Linked DNA regions of Lonchura striata. The protein of the gene in region 2 interacts with the protein of the main gene of each other region in a pairwise test. Links are inferred from orthologs where the notes say so. Each region holds a gene or a part of one and is shown on either strand. Other genes may lie near its edges.

Region 1 (7,048 bases), about 59 Mb from region 2:
TATCCCCAGTCATCTGCTCTGCTTATGCTGGATATTATATTCTGTGCCATCAAGACTGGTCCTGAGAGCAAAGGCAGAGAGAAGAAGCATGGAGTTTGTTATCAGAAACTGCATTCCTCCTCCACATGCTGCACTGGATTGTTCTGGCATGGACAGAGCAGAACAGATCCCTCCTTTACTTTTTAGTTTAGTTTAGCTAGCTGAGGCAGGGAAGTTTTCACTGAACTGTCTTTTCTTTCCCTTTTCTTAGAACTGTTTGAACCTGCTCCAGACTGGGGACCTGGGGAGCACTAAGAGCTCTCACTTTGTGGCCATTGGGCCTTCTCTGGGCAGCAGCCTTTCCCAGTGCCGGAGGGACTGATAACAGAGTGACCGCTCCCAGGAGACACTTTCTGAATTTGTCATCTCTTCAGAGCAGCAAATGAGTTTTGTCATCTGGTATTGTTCATTTTTTGTGCTGGGGAGTGCTTTGCCTGTTAAATAAACAGGTTCTTTCCACTTCTCTCCACAGAAATTTTTCCCAAACTGGTTGGGGGGAGTTTGCTTTCTGGGGGGGGCCCTTTTTGGAGGTTTTCTCCCAAATTTGCCCTAAACCAAGACACAGAGAAACAATTTTTTCTGGACCTTGATGGTTTTTGGCACTATTGTATCATCTGTCTATCTTGCTTAATATATTTGCAAGTCACAACACATACTGGGGTTGATTTTAAACAAGTAATAACATGGACCAGTCAGGCAAGCGAACGTGTTCCCAAGCCATGCATCTGCGATTCTTTCCACCAAAGCACAGACCTGAATCCCTCTGCCCTGACACTCTCCTTCATGCACTCATACAATTAGCTTTTAATCATCCACTCCACTGTCAAATTTGGTTGAACTAGTCAATGAGTTAAAAAATTATCACAGGTGATGTCAAAAGACTGTTCACCGGAAAAATACAACAAAAAATTAATTTACAAAAATACAAAAAAAATTAATTTAAGGGATTATTTAGAGGGAGGATGGTGCATAATCAAGAAGCACAGAACCACATCATTATAAAAAGCCAGACAGCCTGAATATGTACTTAATGACTTGAGATTAGGAACCAGAAGTACAAATTATTTAGGTGAAAAATTCAGAACTAATCAAAGGTAGTATTAAACAGTAGAAAACTGAGCAAGTATCAGACTCGCTTTTGTGGGTTATCTCTTTGACTACAAAAAGCAAGAAATTAGTAGTTGAAATTCACCTGATTCTTTTGACTTTAAGGCCTCTTTGATTTGCTGTTTAATTTTCATTGCTTCTTCTGCAGTCAAGTCCCCTTTTTTCAGTGTCACCACTTGAGGCTGCTCATCTTCCTTGTCACTGCCATTGTCACTGTCATCATCAGCAAGTGGAAGCTGCTCTCTCTGGACAAGGGAGAAATAAAAGCCATTCTGATCATCACTCCAGTTGTGGGTCAGTACTCCTTGGTTTCACTTTTGCAGAAAGGTTATTGAGGAGACTTGGCATAGCTGCCAGTGCCAGGCCCTCCCACCACGTTGTCCAAAGGACATTCCAACTCTATCACTCAGACACAGCTTCCTACTGAAAACATTAGCATGGGAGTACGGGCTTCTTCAATTAGAGACCAGAAGGAACTTGGAAAGCAAGAAATTAATTCTTTTTCTTCGCTATCTTGACTGTGCAGCACAATCTGCTGTACAACTTAAGGTCCAAATTTGAACCCTCCATGCTGTACTCAAAGCAGCACAAAGGGAAATGTGGGTCCATGGTGGCTGAGTTCTTAAACCCGGCTAAACAAATCACTGTAAGCAGCACTGACACAAGGAAGAAAATGCTCCTGTTTCTACTCTCTCTGACTTGTGCACTGGGACAGAAGAATCAATTGGGGTAATTTTTTATTTTTTTAAAATACACCTTCTGGCATGGAAACCTCAGTGCAGCAACCTTAAGTTTGGCAATATCAGAGAACCTGAAAACTTCATATTTTAAGGATAGACAGTATTAGTGTAATCTACTGAATATGTGTATATATATAAATATATATATATATATGTGTGTATAAAACGATAAGTTCATTTCTTAAGATACCCTGTAAAATACTATTTAGAAGGAAATACATGTTAAATCACACTGGAAGCAGAAAAAAAACATGTGCCTTAGGAAAAGCTGCCTTTCAACAAGCTGGCTCAGACCCTACCGCCCCTGCCCTGCCTTTCCAGCCATCACAACACAGTTCATGACCGCGGACCTACAGCAAGATGTTTTAGGTTGGGAGAGACCTTAAAGATCATCCAGTTCCAGCCCTCTGGCCGCGGACAAGGCACCTCCCACTATGCCAGGCTGCTCAGAGTGCTATCCAACCTGGCCCGAACAGTTCCAGGGATGGGGCACCCACAATGAACTCTAGGCAACCTGTCTCACCACCCTCACAGTTAAGAACTTTTTTCCATATACAGAACCTAAATTTCCCCTCTTTTAGCTCGAACCCATCTTAACTCCTTTACGATCATTTTTTTTACAGTACTTTTAGAGTATTTTTTCCCCACACCGGCCTCCTCCTGCACTGCCCTGGGCTCTTTAAGGCCCGGTTCAAGCTCGGACATCAGCGCTGCTCCCTCCGTGCCCGCACAGGCCTCGGGCACGGAGAGGCTGGAGCGGGGCTCCGCACGGCCGCCACTGCAGCCTTGCAGTTGTTCTGACCCGCCAACACACAAGCAAAACCAAGTTACACGTACGATTTGAGTTACAAAACCCTGGAATGCTGCTACTTCCCCCCCGCGAGAGGCAGGGAGCGGGGAGGAGCGGGCATCAAGCTTTGGGAAGCGCCGGGAAGTGCCAGGAAGCGGGGGCTGCCCGCTCCCAGCCGCGGGCGTTACCTTGGTGTCCACCGTGGGGCCCTCCCGGTACCCGACCCGCCGCTTGAAGCGGCTGAGGAAGGCGGGCTCGGCGGGCCGCACGTACGACACCTGGTTCCTCTTGCTCATGGCCGCCGCCGCCGCGCGCGCTCCCGGGCGGGCCGCGCGCCCCCCGTGCCGGGGCTGGCGGCCAATGGCCGCGCAGCCGCGCGCCGGGCGACATGGCGGCGCGCGCCGGGCTCGGGCGCGGGGCGGGGCCGCGCCGCTGAGCGCCAAATTCGAAGGCGCCGCCATTTTGGAGCGGCGGGCGGGAGCTGCCGGGGTCCCAGCGGCCATGGCTCCCGGCGTGAGAGGTGAGGGAGCGGCTGGGAAGGGGCCTAGGGATGTGCCCTCGGTCCAGGGAGGAGGCGGGGGCACCGGGGGACGGCTCTGCCCGGGAGAGCCGCGCTGTCCCGTACCCTGGCGGGGCATCACCATGGGGCCCGGCGCAGCCGTGCGGAGGGGCTCGGTGCCCCTCGGTGCTCCGGGGCGTTCAGAGCGCTGCCCCGGTGGTGTCGGGGTACCTGGGAGCCGGCCCTTTCCTAGAACTACAGAATAAGCTGAGTCCGAAGGGACCCACAGGGATCATCGAGTCCAGCTCCTGGCCGTGCACAGCACCACCCCCGACAATCACACCGTGCGCCCGAGAGCATTGTCCAAACACTTCTGGAGCTCTGTCAGGCTCGGTGCTGTGACCACTTCCTTGCGGTGCCTGTTCCAGTGCCCAGCCACCCTCTGAGTGAAGAGAGTTTTTCTAATATCCGGCCCAAACCTCCGTTTACACAATTTTAGGCTAGTCCCAGGGCTGTGCAAGTACCTATCGGTCTGACTTCAGTTTTTAACTGCACTCCTTTCCTTGAAAACTTGTGCAATTGAAGAATAAATTACTTAATTAGAAGTGAAAATATTTCTCAGATGTTGAGTAAGTCAAAGCAGCACGTAAAAAGCTCATGCAGCAGCAGGATATTTGGGTAGTATGAATGTCAAAGAGAAGGTTAAAGGTGATCCTCCTAAAAAAAAACCTGTGTGCTTTTAAGGATTTTGTAAATACTTTATTATTGGAATATTTTGAGGCATTGTCTTTCATTGTTATTTTTCTTATTTTCTAAATACAATTTTGTTAGTTTTGTTAGTTAATGTTTTGGCTATATTATGTACTTTGATGTCAGATTAAGTAAAAAATAAGTCACTTTATCTACCTATGGGGTAATATGTGCTGTCACCTTGAAATCTGAAGCTGTGCAAAATGAGCCTCACTCACACAATCGGTGAGGTTGGAAAAGACCTCTGAGATCATGGAATCCAACCTATGACTGACCAACACCTTGTCAACCAGGCCATGGCACTGAGTGCCATTCCAAACACCTCCAGGCATGGCGACTCCAGTACCTCCCTGGGCAGCCCATTCCAATATCTAATAAGCCTTTCAGTGAAGACATTCCTCCTGATGTCCTGTCTGAACCTCCTCTGGCAAAGCTTGAGGCTGTGTCCTTTTGTCCTATCACGTGGGAGAAGAGCGTGACCCCAGCCTCCTTCCAGGCAGTTGTAGAGTGGTCTCCCAGAGCCTCCTTTTTGCCAAATTCACAAATGGCACATTGGTAATGTTCACATTAAAGGACTGGAGCTTTCTCTTCCTCTGTAAAAAACTGAAATCTTTCTGCCAAAGGAAGGTAATTACCAAATATTTTAATGCAGTTCTGTTCATGCATAAAACAGGTATTTATAAGGCTCTCCATTTATTTCCCTCTGTCCTGCTTACAGTATTTTCTATTTAAGTGAGGAGTTTGGAGCAGTAATTTTATTGTAATTTTTGTGTGTCTCTCTTTTCTTTTATAGGAGATCTGCGTGACTCTTCAATATCTTCATTGAACTCATCTAGGTAAAACAATATTGGCCATTCCCATATATTTTTAATCACATTGCACAGAAAGTGCAAATAAAGCCTAGCATAACTTTGTGAGATAATTTAAAGATTTTTATTTCAATCTTTACTTGCCTAAGATTGCTGTCTTTCTCTCCCAGTATCCTTACAGGCTTTAAAAATAACGTACTCATAATAAAACTGTTACACTGACACGTTGGGTTCCTCTTGTAATGCTGTCATGCAATAAATTTTCATTTCTCAACTAATTCTGCAGCTGAGCTCTAGAGTTTATATGAAGAAATATCCCACTAGGAACTTCGGTCCTGTGAGGAAGCCTAAACTAAAACAAAAGCCAAAAAGCCCTCCTCCAAGTGTAAACTGTGCCATAACTCAGAATAATGTTATACAAAGAAAGCACATTTGGCAAATTAATTTGGTGTGTCTTAAATCCAGTATAACATCCCTTTCTCAGCTGCTGCTTATGTTTGGAACCCTTTCCTCTGTCACTACCCAACTGCACATTTCGTTCATGAAGACCCTTCCCCACTTTTAAAACTTTTCTTCTCTCTTGTTACCAAAAGTAATAATAGCAGTTGCAACACCCTCCTGCTAAAACTTTTGGAACATAATGAAGTAAAGTAAATCCAAGTTTGCTACCACTTTATGTAAGAATTTAATTCTTTAATATTTTATGGGTGTATTGGTATTTACGGCAGAACTCTTCAGAGCCTTAATGTAAAGTCATGCACAGTTACTTATTAAAGCTGATAAATGTGATGAAATTGGTTAGGGATATTTTAGATGCAGAACTTGCTATGCTTTATTTGATTCATTGATCACGAATTTATTCTTTTTCCCTGTCTTGTAAGCACCAAAGAAAAATGCTAACAACTTTTTAGCTGGACCATAGCATTATCTTATCCATTGATTCATTAAAGATTCCAGGAGTAAGAAGGGCATCTCAAGTTCACTGTGCAATGTGTTCTTTTAGAGGCAAAGCAAACTGCCACAGCAATAAATTGCATGTAACTGCATGTTCGTTGTTCTTTAAATCTGCCACATTTCTACTTCTATTGTTTTTGTCTACAAGTAGAATGATTTTCGGACGGACCTTTGTAAGGCTTCATATGCTTCATCTGATTGTTTCAATTTGATTTTATCAGACATCTGATCTATTTGGAAGTAATCTAATGCATAAACATTTATTTAGTGTTGAAGGTGATGCTATCAAAGTTTTTGTAAGGGTGCGTCCCCCTTCAGACAGAACTGTATTAACTGATGGAGATCATGGCCTATGTTTATCGGTCCTTTCATCAAATACCATCCGCCTGCACTCAAAGCCTGAGCCAAAGATCTTCACTTTTGATTATGTTGCAAATATGGAAACAACACAGGTAATAATTTCCAGAATCTCATAATTACTGCTGTTTTCACCCAAGTTTTGGCAACTACTATGCTAAGCCTTTCTAAAGATGTAGTGCATTAGGTCTAATTTTTTGCAGTGGTCAGATTGGAAACACGTTGTTATAGTATACAATGCTGCATTAAATTCTGCTCTCTAACAGTTTTGATGTGATTTTTTTAGCTGTTTTTTTCTTTACTTAGAGTTTGAATTAAAATTGGAGGTTTTGTTTGTAAACATTATGGTAACACCACAGAGAGAAAAGAAATCTGCCTATAGAGACAAATGTATAAAAATAACTGGTAGTCAGTAGCTGATATTAAGATGTGATATCACAAAATATGCTGAATTGGAAGGGACTCACAAGGATCATCAAATTCAACTCCTGGCCCTGCACATTTGTATTTAAGGAACTTCAGAGTTTATATTCTGTTTGCAGTATCTCCTTCTACTACTTTTGCCTTTTAAAAGTAGTATTTAAATGGATGCATTGATCACCTGGGACAAGTAATACTGGAAAGAAAATCCCACAATTTAATTTCTAGGATGATTGACATTCTGAACATTATTTTAATTCTTCTAGGACTCCCAATCCCATTTAAATTCTGTTAAAAAAACAAACAAAACAAAACCTCCCAAAAACTTCACCTGCTCTAGGCTCTTCTTTCAGAACTAAGAGAAAAATGTGAAGATAGATGAGACTAAATTGTGCAGGTCTATTGAATGTGCCATTCCACAGTGGCAAATGTTGAAAGCTAGATTTTATAAGTGTCACAGGCACCTGGCCTACTGATAGTAAAAACTGCATAGCATAATCAAGACCACTGGATCAAAATTGTTATCATTATTATTATTATGTATTTTGAAGCTGTTACTATGATGCTGAATTTTATTATTTCT
Region 2 (7,772 bases):
TAAAATGTGTTTTTTCTTCCTTCAGATAAGAGGTGATTAATTCAAAATCTGTTAAGGTAAACTTGGACTTAATCATGATACAGTATTTTTAGTAAGCTCACATTATTAATAGATTCAGACTTTAGTCAAGTTAAAAGTATTTTCTGGATGCACTACTCTCACTCTTTAGTAAATCTGCTCTAAGGGATTTGTTCTGTGGTGCTGAAGGAGCTGAGAGGGTTTAAATCACAACTTATGAATTAGACCTCATCAAATAACCATCAGTCCCTCTCATTTCATTCCATGTTAGCTGGCCATCCTGCAATTGTATGGATCTACCGCTATATCTGGGACATGCATAGATCTAAATCTCCCTTGAGGCCCTACACACTTATAGAGCCTGAGGATAACAACTGCAGAAATGCTGGTCTTATTTCTAGAAGTACTGATTTTATTTATTTCTCATTAAATCACCAAATAGGATGCCCTCAATCATCAGGAAAGGCCTGGTTTTTGGATGGGTAGTATCTATTAAAAAAAGACTGCAATTGCAGCCTTGCAGTTGCCTCCCAACAAATAACTTCCTATAAAAAAACACCCAAAACCCAGGAATGACAACTTACTGTATTGAAGAAAACCTTTCAAATGCAGAATGATAACAAAGAGGTCAGAAACAAACTAATATTGCCATCAACTATTAAAAACCTAACTTGTGACCTGTATGTCAGCAGTTAAGCCCTGATATTGCCTGCGGCCACAGAAGTTGAAACTGAGGCAATGCAGGCTGAGTGCAATTTGCTTACAGCTTTTCATTTGATCAGTACTTCTGACAGTAGTAACCTAGAAAATTCAGTGACTTGTACTGTAATACGTCATGTTTTAACAGTATACTAAGCATTTTATGACCAATGCACACATGCAAGTAAAAGCACCTGCCAAAAGTACTCAGGACATGGAAGTAGAGGGAAATATATCAGTCAAAAAAACCCAGAAACATCAATTAGATCTTTTAAGGAGACAAACATACCCCAAAAGTTGCTCATCATCACGCTGGTATGCGTGGCTGCTGGACAGGAGGACAACCCTGGCAAATTTGCTGCTCTTCACCCAAGAAAGCAGAGTTTCACAGAATGGCCTGTACTTGTTCTTCATGCAAAGACACAGACAAAAAAGTGAAAAATTTAATGTGTCCTTAACAATACTAGGTGTTACATATAGTATTTAGCAGTGACGTAAATTATTCTTCATATCCACTTAGTTTTCAGCCCCAGATATATTAGAAAGCAGAGAACTGCCCTGGTTGTTTACTTAAGCAAAACTACAAATAGAATTACAAGAATTATCTCTAAGACCATGTCAAGAACAACAGTACTACCTGTTTTGTGTGCCGTTAATACCAAAGGAAAAAGATTTAGAGCAGGATGGGATGGCAGGATCACACAGTATTTTTCCACACTTTGAACTGCTAAAATACTGCACTACAATTTTCTTTTCTGTGGTGGCATTCTGCTTATTTTAAATTACAGCCACTGCCCAATTAATGAGTAATACTAAATTCCTCATTTTTACCAAATGAACATTGTTTAAATGAATATAGAATAATATGAAATAATTAAATTGGCATAACACAAAAAAGAATAAAGCTATTACAAAGAATACAGAAAAAATATAAATGCAAAGGAAAAAATAAACAAACAAAACCCAGACCATTTTGTATTTTCATGACTCTTAATAACTAAGGAGATATTAGCACTAAAATCTACCAACACAGGCAGCTGTTGTGGGGCTTGGAAAAACAAAATGCCCAAACTGATGATGCAAAATGCCTCAGCAAATGCAGAAATCAGTAAAACTTTACCAACTGCAGAAGGTGTTACAGCCTGAAGTAGAAAAATATTTTTGCCAGCAGAACTATTCAAACCAAACAGTGAAGTAAAAATGATCGATGAACATACATACCTTTATAAAAGGTGATCTGATCTGCAGAACTACAAGTTTCTTTGAAGGTAAGGAGTACACTACAAGAAGAAATCATTGTCATATTAAGCAGAAACTGAGAATCTGGGTTTAAATATATCAAGAATTACCCCACTTACAAACTTCAGGATAGTAAAGTAAACCTTTCAGTTATCAATTCATACGGGAAAGCCTGACAACATCCACTGTGTTAAAACCACATATTTCTGTGCATTGTACTTTCAGTTGTACTAATTTAAGGACTGAATTATGAAACATATATGAGGATTTGCCTTCTGTAATGATTCAGATTATGTATGCATCTTTGCAAAGATTGCCATATTATTCTGAGATTTCTGTGATTTAAGAGGGTAAAAAAAAAGGAGATACAATGATGAATGTAGGGAAAGAAATTAAGAATTTGTAGGGGGAGTGGGAGAAACATTACACAGGGAAAAAGGCAGAGGTATGTAGGAAAGAAGAAGAGTGGATAAGTATCTTTCTAAATGAGAAATTCAACTTGTATTCCAATAATTTATTTTAAGTATGTGCACACTTCATATTGCTTTGGATTAATACCACAGAGAGTTCTGGTTGCACTACAATATGGCTCAAACATTCTAAATGTCAAATTGGTTTTCCAAAATAACAACAGGAACAGTTTCATTTGTGAAATATGAATACATTCCTATCTGTAGGTTTCTGCAGCTGTTATTACTGCCCTTAATTTAAGCACATCAGCAAAATTTAACAACAACGAAAAAGAAAATGTGATGTTCTTGCATCTTATGTCCCTTGCAAACGCTTGCAGTATTCTATACCCACCTTCAGCATTTATACTCAGCTCCATTGAGTTTTCCTCTGCTGTTGCATATGGGTTATTTCCAACCATTGGCACCAGGCAATCGGTATAGAAGTAACCAACTTTAGTCATGTCAAGCGTGGAAATCACCAGATCTATTGCCAACTGACCGACATTCCCCACGGACACGGCTGGCTGAAGTAACAGAACGAACCGAATTACAGCATACTTCATGGATGGCATAATGTGCTCTTCAAATAGTGAAACCTTAAAATCTGGTCAAACATCATTTCTGAAAGTGGCTGCTCATCCTCTGGCAAAGGTGACTATTTCCTACCAGAAGAATTGGTAAATACAGGATTTGGTCTCTGTCCGACAAAAAACATCCTGGCCAGTTCTGTGAATAATCCTGTCTAATTGTAAACTGAAAGAACAGCTTGGAAACTTACCTCCTTCCCCACATTTTTGGATTGAGAGTAGGTAAAAGTCACTCAAGTGACTGATGTGAGACTGGCTCACATGATGCCCAAAGGCAGCTCTGGTATTACATGTTAAGCCTCTAAATCTCAGACTGACTCATAGACAAGAGTATGTAATTTTACATATTTTTTAAGGATGAAAATTATAAGGGTGCCCTTAAATTAATTTCATAAGAATTGCTACGGGTTATCATCGATCGGGGCAGATACTGACCTAATATGACGACACGGAAAGAGAAAGTAAAGAGTCAGTGTCCTTCCAAAGAAACTATTACGGGAAGACTACCATAAACCGCTCGGTTGCTTTCCTCTAATTTATAATCACATCTAAGAATTACTGCTGCTGCTGCCTGTTGGGGAAAGACAGCGGATTTGAGGCGGACAGAAGATGAAGGGGGCCGCGGCAGCACTGCCGTGCCCCCGCCTGGCTGGCACCCAGCTGCCCGCCCGCCGCAGGCGCGCAGCTCGGCAGGGATGCGCTTCCTGGCGCTCGCCAGCGGAGCGGGAATGACTCCCCGGCAGCCGTGCCGGCAGTGGAGCCGCCTGGGCGGCGGCGCTCCTGCAGCCAGCGCAGCGAGGCCAGACCAGACGGCGTTCGTCCCTCCGCAGCCTGCAGCTCCCGCCCGGCAGCGTCGCCTCGGGCACGTCACCCGGCACCGGTGTCACGCGCGATAAAAACACTTCCGAAAACAATCCTAGTCCGAGATTTAAATGTAGCAGAATGGCTTTTTAAAAAAAACATTTGAAGCATTTATATATCACATCTAAATTAAAAAAAAAAAAAAAATCCCAAGCTTTTATTGCAGTGACAACCCACGGGTGCTGCAAATCCAGTAAAAGCACATAGGGCGCGTTAATTTTTAGAGCAACAGCGTATAGCTATAGCTCCGAAATAGCATATAGTTATTGCTCTAAATTAAAATATAGCTTTTGCAGCTCGGCACGGATCGTCTTGACAGGGGCAAACCCGGGGTTCTGAGGAGGGAGAAGCCGGCAGAAAAGGAGAAGACCGCGCTAAGCTCTGCCGCAGACAGAGCCCTCCAAACCCTCTTTTCCCAGAACACCCCACAGATTCCACACACACCGCCTGCCCTGAGCTTTCTCCGCTTATCCCGCGGCCAAGCGCCCAGGGACGAGCCTCGGGCAGGGCAGGGACCGACACCAGAACCCCGTGGGACATGTCCCGTCCCACAGGAGCGGAGCGGAGCCCTCGGCACAGGGACCGCGGGCAGCGAGCCCTCAAACGCACCGAGGGCGAGGGCGGCGAAAGGCGAAGCAGGAGCGTGACTCACCATCAGCAGAGTGAACCCTTTAAAGTCGGGGGCGGCGGAGCCCCCGCCGCGGCCGCACGGAATGAACATGCCGGCCGGGAAGGGAGGAGAAAGCAGGCAGTGAGGGAAGGAAGGAAGGAAGGAGGGAGGGAAGGAGGGAGGGAGGAAGGAAGCAGGGAGGGAGGAAGGAAGCAGGGCGCGGACGCCGCACCCGCGTGCCGCCGCCAGGGGGCGGCGGCGGCGCTGCCCGCGCTGGCTGCGGGGCGGTTGGGCTCGCTCGGTGGCGGTGCCGCCATGTCGCTGCCGCCGGAGAAAGCCTCGGAGCTGAAGCAGATCATCCACCAGCAGCTGCTCAAGGTGGGCCCGGCGCCGGAGAGACTTCCCCGGCCCTCAGGGAGCTGTGCTGGCCTCCGTGCCGGTGTCACCCGGCCGCGGGTGGCGGCGGCGCCCGCTCCGGCGCCCCGCTTTGTTTTCCCAGTTGGGTCGCTGCAGGTGGTTTCCAGGCGCCGCTTGGTCGCTTTCCTGTTGCTTTTTGAGCGAGGGTCTTGAACTGGCCGGGGAATAAGTAAGGAGGCTGTAACTCCTATAGCGCTTGTTAGTGCAGTGGTGAATATTCCTGCCCGTCACAGGAGAACGGGGATCTTGGAGTGAGTCCAGAGGAGGCCAGCAAGATGATTAGAGGGGGGCAGCGCCTCTGCTTGAGGAAGGCTGAGAGAGCTGGGATTGTGCAGCCGGAGAGGAGAAGGCTCGGTGGGAACTTCATAGCAGCCTTCTGAGGGGAGCCAGCAAGAAAGGAGACAGACTTTTTACCACAGCGTGTAGTGACAGGACAAGGGGAGATGGATTCAAATTGAAAGACATATTAGGAAGAGTTTTTCACTGTGATGGGTGTTGAGGGACTGGAGCAGGTTGTGGATGTCCCATCCCTGGAAGTGTTTCAGGCCAGGCTGGGTGGGGTTCTGAGTGACCGGATCTAGTGGAAGGTGTTCCTGCCCATGGCCAGGGTTTTGGAATTAGATGATCTTGAAGGTGTTTTCCAACAAGGTCGTTCTGTGATTCCGTTTCAGGTCCTGGTGACTGTGTCCTTCGCAGCCTTCCAGTGTGAGAGTCAGCTCTATAAATCCATCTGCTTTCACAGCTCAGATGATGGGCATTCTCAGACATCCCTTTGAGTATAGGGAAAGCTTGCAAAGGAGATCTACTGCTTTTGTGCCCAACCTATATAATGAATATTTTTTCCCCTTAAAAAATAAGGAAGTATTATATTAAGGTTGAATTTTGAGGGAGACAAGAAAATGGAACAGTGACCATTTTGTAATTTATGTATTTCCAGACCTTTTTGTAAGGGGGGACGTTCCAGATGAGTTGCTGTCAAAGAGCAGTGAAAATGCCAAGGTTTTGTATGCTTGTAATTTTTTTTTACTGGGAGAGTTGCTTTTGTAAGATAGTGGCTCATTTGATTAGTTGTGCAAGGATCAGTATTTTGATATCGTTATTTCTGTGTTCTTAGGAAAACACCATTAGCCTTACAGACTTAATTGGTAAGTTGTACCTGCTGCCATACAGAGGGCTGGTGTTTGTAGCACATAATGAATTTTCTTTCAGATGGATGTCCATGGGAGGATACGAGAAGTTCTTGCTGAGACTGTACGAGAAGAGCTGGCGCCTGAGCAGCAGCAGTTGTCCACAGAAGATCTGATAAGAGCCCTAAGACAGCGGGGAATCATTGATGATGTTATGAAGGAACTTAAATTTGTAACTGTAAGTAGCTTTTTAAGAAGGGAAATATTTCTGCTTATTCCTCTTACTGCCGTGGTTTTTCGACAAAGTGAAACCGCTGCTTCTGGAGTTTTGTAAGGACCTTACTGATTTGAGACATTATAGGAGCAGAGAAGATTAATGCACATGCTGAAATCGGTTTGGTGATAATACTGCACTGAAAATATTTGTTCAGTTTTAGAAGGGAGTATACCTAAGGAATGGCATTCAGACGAAATGGAAGATCCTTTAATTTTTAGAAGACTGTGGTAAGAGCACTGTTGCATCCCTTGAGTCCTTAAAAAGTCTTAATTGTAATTCCAGGATGTGAATGAAACGGAGAGGACTTTGGCTCCAAAACCATCAACACATTTTGTTGACAGAGAACCACCAGTTTTGAAAAAAAGTATGTTTCTTGTTTATTTAAATGTTTAGATCATGGTTTTAAAGCAAATTTGAAGTCTCTGATTTTGGCACTCTGAATTAGTAATCCAGTATGAACTGGAATAAAGGTGGATGTTTCCTCTGCTTATCCACAGGGAGTAAACTCATGTAAGCAGCAGCAATCAGTGTTGCATTAAATATTATTTATTATTAATTCATTTACTTTACACAAAGGTATATTTTAAAATCACTTTCTTCTAAGCATGTTTCAAAGAAGTTTAATTTTTTGCTAGTGTCCTGTTAGTTACCTGATATTTAACAAATTAAGCTTTCTAAGATCTGTTTGTAGTCTCTTCATTTTTATTGCTACGCTTTGCAGCTAACATTGACCCAACACGGAGGTATCTTTACCTTCAGGTTTTGGGTGGAAAAGCTTTTCTGGAACATCTTCAGGAACCAGAGCCTCTGCCTGGCCAGATCTGTTCTACCTTCACTCTGTGTTTACATTTTCGAAACCAGCGCTTCCGTTCCAAACCTGTACCCTGTGCCTGTGAGCCAGATTTTCAGGATGGTTTTCTACTTGAAATACACAAGGATACCCTAGGTAAGGAATATTGTGGGTTTAAAGCTGATGCTGTTGGGATTTCTTCTGACCTGAGAGTTATTGTGAAATATGTTTGGTATTATTTAGTGAATTTTTTTCCTGGTTTTTGTCATGTTTTCCTGAGAAAACTGATTACTGTATTGGGTTATACCCCTTGTAGATCTTTCTCTGCTCTTGCTCTTTTCCTTCTTTTTCACTCTAAAATAACTTGAAATTGACCAGCTTTATAAATTCTTAAATGTTAATTCCATTTATATTTTTTGTGTATCTGAACTAGTTGCATTGCAGTACTCAACTGCAAAATAATTTTATCTTCTCTGTAATCTCTCTGTAGCTCTGTCCTAAAGTGAGTATGGTGTTAGAGATAGGATCATTGTTTACACTTCTGGACTCAAGGTCTTTCTTTATACTTATTACAGACATTGCATTTTGTTGCATACTGTTTTAAAATTCTGAGGAGAACTTGGGATGATAATATTCTTGTTGTTTTATTTTGGTTTAATAATGGCAGGTGATGGAAGCAAGATGGTGGATGCAAC
Region 3 (7,167 bases), on a different chromosome or scaffold from region 2:
TGGGAAAGCACACAGCAGCTGTACTACGATTTCCTTTTTTCTCCGCTGCTGTCTGCAAACTCTGGTGAACTGTTTTTCCAATTGCACTGGCAGTCATTTTATCTGTACAAATTAAAACGTTACTTGGCTCCCTCAAAACTCTGCTCTTCTGTGTCAGAAGAGAGCCAGCATCTTCTCTGTCTACAAGTGATGACATCCCAGTAAAATTCACACATGCAGAATCCAGAGCACCAGCATCTTCTGACTCTGTGGTTCCTGCTTTGGCAGCAGAAGAAATAAATTCTAGCTGTTCAGTCTCCTTGTAACTACAATCAAAAGAGGACCCACCATCTAGATGGTTCAGTGTATTTTCTTCCTCACAGAGGGTTTTTCTAGTTATGAAATTTTCCATTTTTGCATGCTCATACTGAGGCTTCCTCTGTAAGAGAAGTCCATCAAATGTTTTAAACACCACAGAATTGGAGTCTTCTTCTGAGTTCTGCACTTCAAATAATTTATTCTGTGATACTTTTACTTTCTCCTCTTCTTCCTCTTCACTTTCCTCAAATGTACTTAGTGGTGAGTAAGAAATTCCACAGTCATTGAAGTCCACTCCTGACTGCAGGAGACCTGGCTGACTTGTATCTTTCTCCATACACAGATGTTTTCCTGTTTCACTTTCTTGAGAGGATGCAAAATCAAAAAATTCAAATGTACAATGATTATCTGCCCTCTGTGGAAGCTGAAGTGTCTGTTGAGATTTTTCAACACCTGCAAAAAAGGAAGTACTTCCACTAATTATATTTAGGGACTTCATTTGTGGTGAATTCCGTACCATTGATGCACAGTCATCATTTGGGGTATGCTTTATTTCAGTAGAGGGTTTCTCATTCCCTGAGGTTTCCTCTGCATAACTTGGGGAACAGCTGGGCTTTGCAGCAGTAGAACATGTCATCTTCATCTCCACAGTGGTTCCCAAAGGGTTTACAAGATACTCCCCTGCCCTGTTTGCTGCAAGCAGAAAATGGCTGTAACGCTTGTAGTGAGATGGAATGGTGGAGGTGCACTGTAAACCATCAGGACACTCTAGGGGAAGAATCAAACAAAGGAGCAATGTTAATACCTTTGCAAGTATAGTTGTCACAGTTAAAATAAAAATTTAGGAGCTTTTTCTTGTAAATACAGCTGCTGGAGGACAGAAGGCACAAGTAAAAAGTAATTTTCAAACTATCAAGGCCTCTTGCTCCAAGCTGAGCAATGAGAAGCTTCCACCCTAAAAACAAACAGTTGCTGCTCATACAGCACTATGCCTGAATTATACAGCCCATTAACAAGAATACTTGACCCTGTTTCAATGCTGTGCTCCTGTAACCACATGGCTTCTGGTTTAGAATTGTTTCACATTCAAGCAACAAGCTCAAAGAAGTAGTACCAGAAAGAGCCAGTACACTTCAAATATAAGTAACAAACAAATTTCTGAATTAACCTGAAATTCCATTTTAAATTGTCTGATATTACACACTAAAAAAAAGAAAAAAGTTGTGCATTTACCTATAAGAAGAAAACATTCAGCATTGAGGTGATAGGAAAAAAAAAAAAAAATCCATACCACTTTCCTAGGCCTTTCCCAGTAACAAATTACCAGCCTAACTTTTCAGGCTTTTAAAGTGAACAACATAAACCCACCAGAAGGACTCTTCACCTGTTAATTAAGGGAGTAAGACAGAAACGAGGCGTTAAAACACCTGCCTTAAATTAAAAGCACTGCCAAAATCATCATGTAAGAATTTACATGTCATTTCTCTGAAGAAGAAACTCACGGAAAGTTATCAAAATGTAAAAAGAAGAATGGTTGCATTACCCAAAATAGCCTTTACTCACTTTTCCAGACTGTATGCTTTCTGTTTTACAAAAATTATGAGGTGTATTAAGCACATATATTGGATACCTGAATTTGTTTAGCTATGGTATTTCCCCATGAAACTGGAATTTAGAATGTGTCAGTTTTAGTCCTCTAGTACAGAGCTCAAAAGAAAACGGTTGTCTTATGATACAGGGATATTAGTCTATTTCTATTTAAAATTTCTAAACCATAGTGGGCCACAAGTTTATTAGCATATTTCAGCTTCCAAATGTCCATAGACAACGGAACATATCACATATCAACATGAATACAAGATAATAAAATCTATACTTAAGGAGATAGAGGCTTCATGTCAAAAGTAGCACCCTTGTGCCTGAAGGTTCTTTTCTGACACTGTCATTGTAACAAGTCTCATTATTTTAATGTGCACCTTCAGTTTGTTCAATGAAATACTAAAACTTGATAAACAGCCATGAAACTTTCTCAGAGGTTTGAGATTAGATTTTGAAATGAGATTTTCATGGCAGATTTCCACATTTTTCACAAAGAAGCAAAATTTCATATAAAAATAGGACTGATCAGTAAAACATAACAAAACATGATAAAAATCATACCAACTACCATTTCAGATTTTGAGCTGAATACAAAAAACGAAGTTTACAGCAACATTTTGTGAGAAGTTTGTAAGCTTTCTCTGAAGGCTTTCTTCTTACTCTATTCATACCTTTTTCAATGGGTCCTGGAGTTTCCAAACATTCATAGACGTGCCACTGAGGTGTCTGGACCAGCAGCAAAGAGAAGGGCATCTGGCAGCTGGGACAGAACCCATCGTGAACGGGCTTTGCATTTTGTGAGCTCTGTTCTGCCAGTCTACCCACACTTTCCTGCGAGGGCTCACTGCTGTCTTCTTTACATTGATCCACATCCTGACCTGGCCGTGAGCTCTGCTTGGTTTTCGGAGGTGTACCAGTTTTTTCTGTGGATTTCTTTTTCCTATTTCTTTTTCTTTTTGGCCTGCCTTTGCCAACACTTACTTCCTGCACAGTAGAGATGCTCTGTGAATTACTACAATGCTTTCGCTTCCTAATGGATTTGTACTCCCAAATGTCCTCTTCCAATAAAGCATCTTCAGACATGTCAACACATGAAATATTCCCCTTTCTTTTAAGCAACAGTTCACAAACCTGCCTTTCCCCCTGCTAATATATTTTCTCTTCCCTCCACTCTTCACTACCTGAGGAAAAGCTCCAGAAGCCCATGTTAAGAAAGCAACGCTGGGCCACAAACCAAGCAGGAGACCCTGGTGGGACAGGAGCATGGTCGATCCTACCCCAAAAATAAATTCAGCGAGCGTGTCTTTGTAGATTTGCGATTTCTCCTGTCGCACAGGGCTCGAGTCTGCAAAGCCTTCCAGGGTGAGCCATTTCCTTCAGCTTCCCCCCGGCATCGTAAGCTCCACCCGGCCTCGGCGGGGGCAGGAAGATTTTAAAAATTCCTGCCCGAGCAGAAAAAAAATTTAAAACAAAACGAGGCAAAATTCAGCTACGGGATCATCATCAGGGTGTCCCGGGACGCTCCTCGGCAGCGTCCCCTCGGAGTGCCCTGTGATGCTCTTCCAGAGGGTCCCGGTGCTGCTCCACGGTGTGTCCCAGTACCCGAGTGGCGGGGATGTCCCGGGGTCCCCCTGTGTCCGGGATGCTCGGTGGGATGTCCCTGGGATGTCCCGGAGTGCCCGGGATGCCGCCAGGGATGTCTCAGTGTCCCGGGATGTCCCTGGGCTGTCCCGGAGTGCCCGGGATGTCTCAGTGTCCCGGGATGTCCTGGTACCCGGGATACCGCCAGGGATGTCTCAGTGTCCCGGGATGTCCCTGGGCTGTCCCGGAGTGCCCGGGATGTCTCAGTGTCCCGGGATGTCCTGGTACCCGGGATACCGCCAGGGATGTCTCAGTGTCCCGGGATGTCCCTGGGCTGTCCCGGAGTGCCCGGGATGTCTCAGTGTCCCGGGATGTCCCTGGGCTGTCCCGGCTCCGGCCGGTCCCGCCGCCTCTCCCGCCGCTTCCCGCCGTGGCCGCGCATTCGCTTCCGCAGGTTCGTCACCGCCGCTGTCGCCCAGCTTCTCTTCTGTCACAGACTGCCCCCCTAGAAGAGCCCCAGATCCCACCCTTTAAATCACTGGACTCTGGTTTCGACTTTTTCCCGTGCTGCTCAATTTTTACACCTTAGAAACGGTAAAGCATCCTAGCGGGAAACACGGGTTGTGTTGAATCTGCTGCGCGGGAATCTCCACCGTGGGCTCGCTCTGGGAATGTGCTGCTGTGGAAACCAAGGATACGTAAAAACAGGGAATAAGTGAGGAGGTCCGGCTTTAAGACAGAGGAGTTATTGCGTGTCTGTGCCTTGTGTTTACTTTCTGCTCCAGCCGCGGGTTCCGCCCTGGCGGCGCGGCGGTGCCGAATGTGCGGCGGCGAAGCGCCAGGCGGGTGAGCACGGCCGGGCGATGGCGGCGGGCGGGCTGGCGGGGCTGCTGCCCGCCCAGACACAGCTCGAGTACGCGCTGCTGGACGCCGACACCGCCCAGGAGAAGGAGAACCTGGTCTACCAGTACCTGAAGAAAATGGACAGCCGCGAGCGGGACCTGGCGGTGCCCGAGCTCGGCGGAGGTGGGTGGCGCGGCCCGGGCGGGCTTTGCCGCGGGGAGCGCAGGGCCGGCCCCTGAGCCGCTGCGGCCGCGGGAATTGGCACTCCTGGGAGCACCGGGAGGCAAAAAGAAGCCCTTTAAACATCTTCTCCCTGGTACTGGCTGCAAAAACACTGTTCTGTAAAGCCTCTCTTCTAAGTCTGTTGCTGTCTGTACTGTGTATTTACGTGAGAACCTTACTAACTCTCCCTGCGTTCTCCTGAGCTCGCTTGGTTTCCCGGAGCATCCCTCAGGATGTTCCCCGGCTCTCTGCTCCATGACTTGTCAATTTTCCTGCCCAGGGCGATACAAACTCTGCTGGAGATGTCATTCGTCCTCCTGGTTTGCCCCTCACACATTTCTGTGTCTCTCCTTGTGGCAAGGAGGAAATCAAAGGTTAAGCCTTGTAAGGTTTTGCAAGTCCTGCTCAGGGTCTTTTTAACCTTTGAGAGGCTCCCTGCAGCTGTGGGAGCTCACGTCATACCGCCAGACAGGGAGCTCAGGAGGTGAACTTCAGGGTTAAAATCACCCTGGGTGATTTTAAAATTCATATCATGGGAATGAATTATAGCTTGGAACAAAAGGAGTGCTCTCTCTGTGTAGACTTGGGGCCCTGAATTGAATTTTAGATTTTGCCATTAGTGTTGTTTCAGTGTTCTGTCAAGGCTTATTTTGTCCTCTAAAAAGAGCTCAAATAAGTAGCAAATATATATGAAAGTTATTTTCTAGTGAAAAAAGAGAAATGCTGTAAAATATATAAACTACCCTTTTCTTTTAAAAACCGAACAGCAAAGCTCCTACACTGTGGAATAATGCATATACTTGAATTATTCTCATTATTCTCACCAAAATTAAACATGTGTGCATCCATTTATGTCTGTAAATACATGGAGACAGAGAACAGCCCTCCTCTTAGTGAAATGTAAAACAAGCCTCCTGCTGACTTGAGTAGGAATAACTTCTGGATCAGTAAGAACTTATTTTCTGAAAGTGTCAAAGTGAAAGTTCAAAAACTAGTTAGCTTTGCATTTTTATCATAACTATATTTTCCTTTTATAATTTTCAGAAATGCTAAGAGATAATACTGGCAGACTAAATTTTAGGATATTTATTCCTTATCTTGATACCTCTGATAGGATCAGAGGAGGAAAGAATGTTTTCATGTCTCGTGTCAAGTGGTTAAAATAAATGACCAGGTGTACTTTTGTGCATATCTGAAAAAGTTGTATTTCTTCCCATGTGACAGAATTAATTGATACATGTAATTTCAAACTTTGAATATCAAGATCAAACTTATAAGCACAAGAATATTGCAATGATCTCTGAAATCAATTCTTTAGAAAACTGTTGGAAAAAATCATTAAGAGTTTAACACTTTTAAACTTTTAGGAGCCTTTATGTGAGTTTTAAATTATTGATTGTTACCCACATGGCATTGTTGGGGGTTGAATAATGTAGATAATGTTATAACATATATGACATTTGTTCTGAGGCTTTCACGTAATTTCAAGTTAAAAGTGCCTATATAAAGATATAAACTACACTTTTATAATACAGTGAATCTTACTAATAATATCTTAATTTGCTAATTATGAAGAATTGCAGAACATAAGGATGAGTTGCATAAATAAGAAACTTTTTGTTTGCTTTTCTACCTGCGTAAAAGGGATGTCAAACTCTTTTTTTTTTCTTTTTTTTTTTTTTTTTAATTTTTTTTAGGTTAAAAGTACCAGGAACATTATGTGGTGTTGGTGCCTTTCCCTACCCTTCCCCTAACTGGCTACCACTGTTCTCTGAATTCCAGATCTGCAATGGTTAAACACTGAAGGTCCTATTTCTCTTCACAAAGACCTTTGTGGAAAAGTTGTGGTGTTGGATTTCTTCACTTACTGCTGCATCAATTGCTTGCACCTGCTGCCTGACCTCCATGCCTTAGAGCACCAGTACTCTGATAAAGGTAAAAGTACTTTGGCTGGCTTGGAATAGAATTTCCTGGCACTGTTGCAGGCTGAGGAGCTGAGTCACTTTGTTGCTGGTTACTGAATTGCTGGCAGTATTTCAGGGTTGTCTAAAAATGTCTTCTAATCTTTAAGTAGCCTAAAAAAGGTGACTGTGTGTACTTCCATCACATTTTTAAATGGGTTAAATAAAGTGCCTGTTGTGTCTGTGAAATTGGGCAAAAGGGATATGTGCTTAAAGCCCAAATCTGATACCTCTGTAAATAAGGTGACTTTCAAAAAGCTACTCAAGAATGTGAGATACAGGCTCAAAATTAATATGAGTAGGTAATTTTCTACTCTTGACTGAGGAACCAGCTCTGAGAAGAATATAGTAAAGGTGGTAGAGGGGATACAGATAGTTGTAGAATAAGATATAGATTACTTTTTTTTTTCATTGGAACTGAAATAACAAAATATGTAAGCTTGATATAGATTTTTTTTTTTATATTGGCATTATGTTGTATACCATTAATCGCCCTATATTCTAGAGGGGGGATTATGGTCTTTAATGTCACATCTGAAATGAGATCTGTCGATCTGTCTGTCACTGACTGAATAAAAATGCAGGGTAATTTCTGTTTAGAATGCAGTGTCTTGTCATGATGGCGTGTTAGAGATAAGCTGTAGTCTTACACAGAGTGTGTCAG

What was found. The genes of interacting proteins can lie anywhere in the genome.
Region 1: the proteins of CEP76 (region 2) and KIAA1143 interact in binary tests that used the Homo sapiens proteins (3 or more experiments, as listed by UniProt). The two-hybrid records come from large-scale screens. The link is inferred for Lonchura striata from reciprocal best matches to the Homo sapiens genes CEP76 and KIAA1143.
Region 3: the proteins of CEP76 (region 2) and NHLRC2 interact in binary tests that used the Homo sapiens proteins (3 or more experiments, as listed by UniProt). The two-hybrid records come from large-scale screens. The link is inferred for Lonchura striata from reciprocal best matches to the Homo sapiens genes CEP76 and NHLRC2.

What each region holds. Positions count from the first base shown.
Region 1 is NC_134603.1:111,787,258-111,794,305, reverse strand, and holds the start of KIAA1143 (uncharacterized protein KIAA1143 homolog), read right to left. Parts: upstream 3,022-7,048; 5' UTR 2,973-3,021; coding exon 2,865-2,972; intron 1,392-2,864; coding exon 1,232-1,391; intron 1-1,231. Other genes in the region: kinesin-like protein KIF15-A, read left to right, coding at 3,037-3,196, 6,007-6,140.
Region 2 is NC_134603.1:53,164,043-53,171,814, reverse strand, and holds the start of CEP76 (centrosomal protein of 76 kDa), read left to right. Parts: upstream 1-4,749; 5' UTR 4,750-4,781; coding exon 4,782-4,844; intron 4,845-6,092; coding exon 6,093-6,248; intron 6,249-6,569; coding exon 6,570-6,651; intron 6,652-7,008; coding exon 7,009-7,233; intron 7,234-7,744; coding exon 7,745-7,772. Other genes in the region: PSMG2 (proteasome assembly chaperone 2), read right to left, coding at 1,007-1,125, 1,939-1,997, 2,761-2,932, 4,509-4,577. UniProt on the Homo sapiens protein: Centrosomal protein involved in regulation of centriole duplication. Required to limit centriole duplication to once per cell cycle by preventing centriole reduplication.
Region 3 is NC_134609.1:24,573,913-24,581,079, forward strand, and holds the start of NHLRC2 (NHL repeat-containing protein 2), read left to right. Parts: upstream 1-4,146; 5' UTR 4,147-4,340; coding exon 4,341-4,503; intron 4,504-6,324; coding exon 6,325-6,477; intron 6,478-7,167. Other genes in the region: DCLRE1A (DNA cross-link repair 1A protein), read right to left, coding at 1-1,065, 2,568-2,979. UniProt on the Homo sapiens protein: Required for normal embryonic development.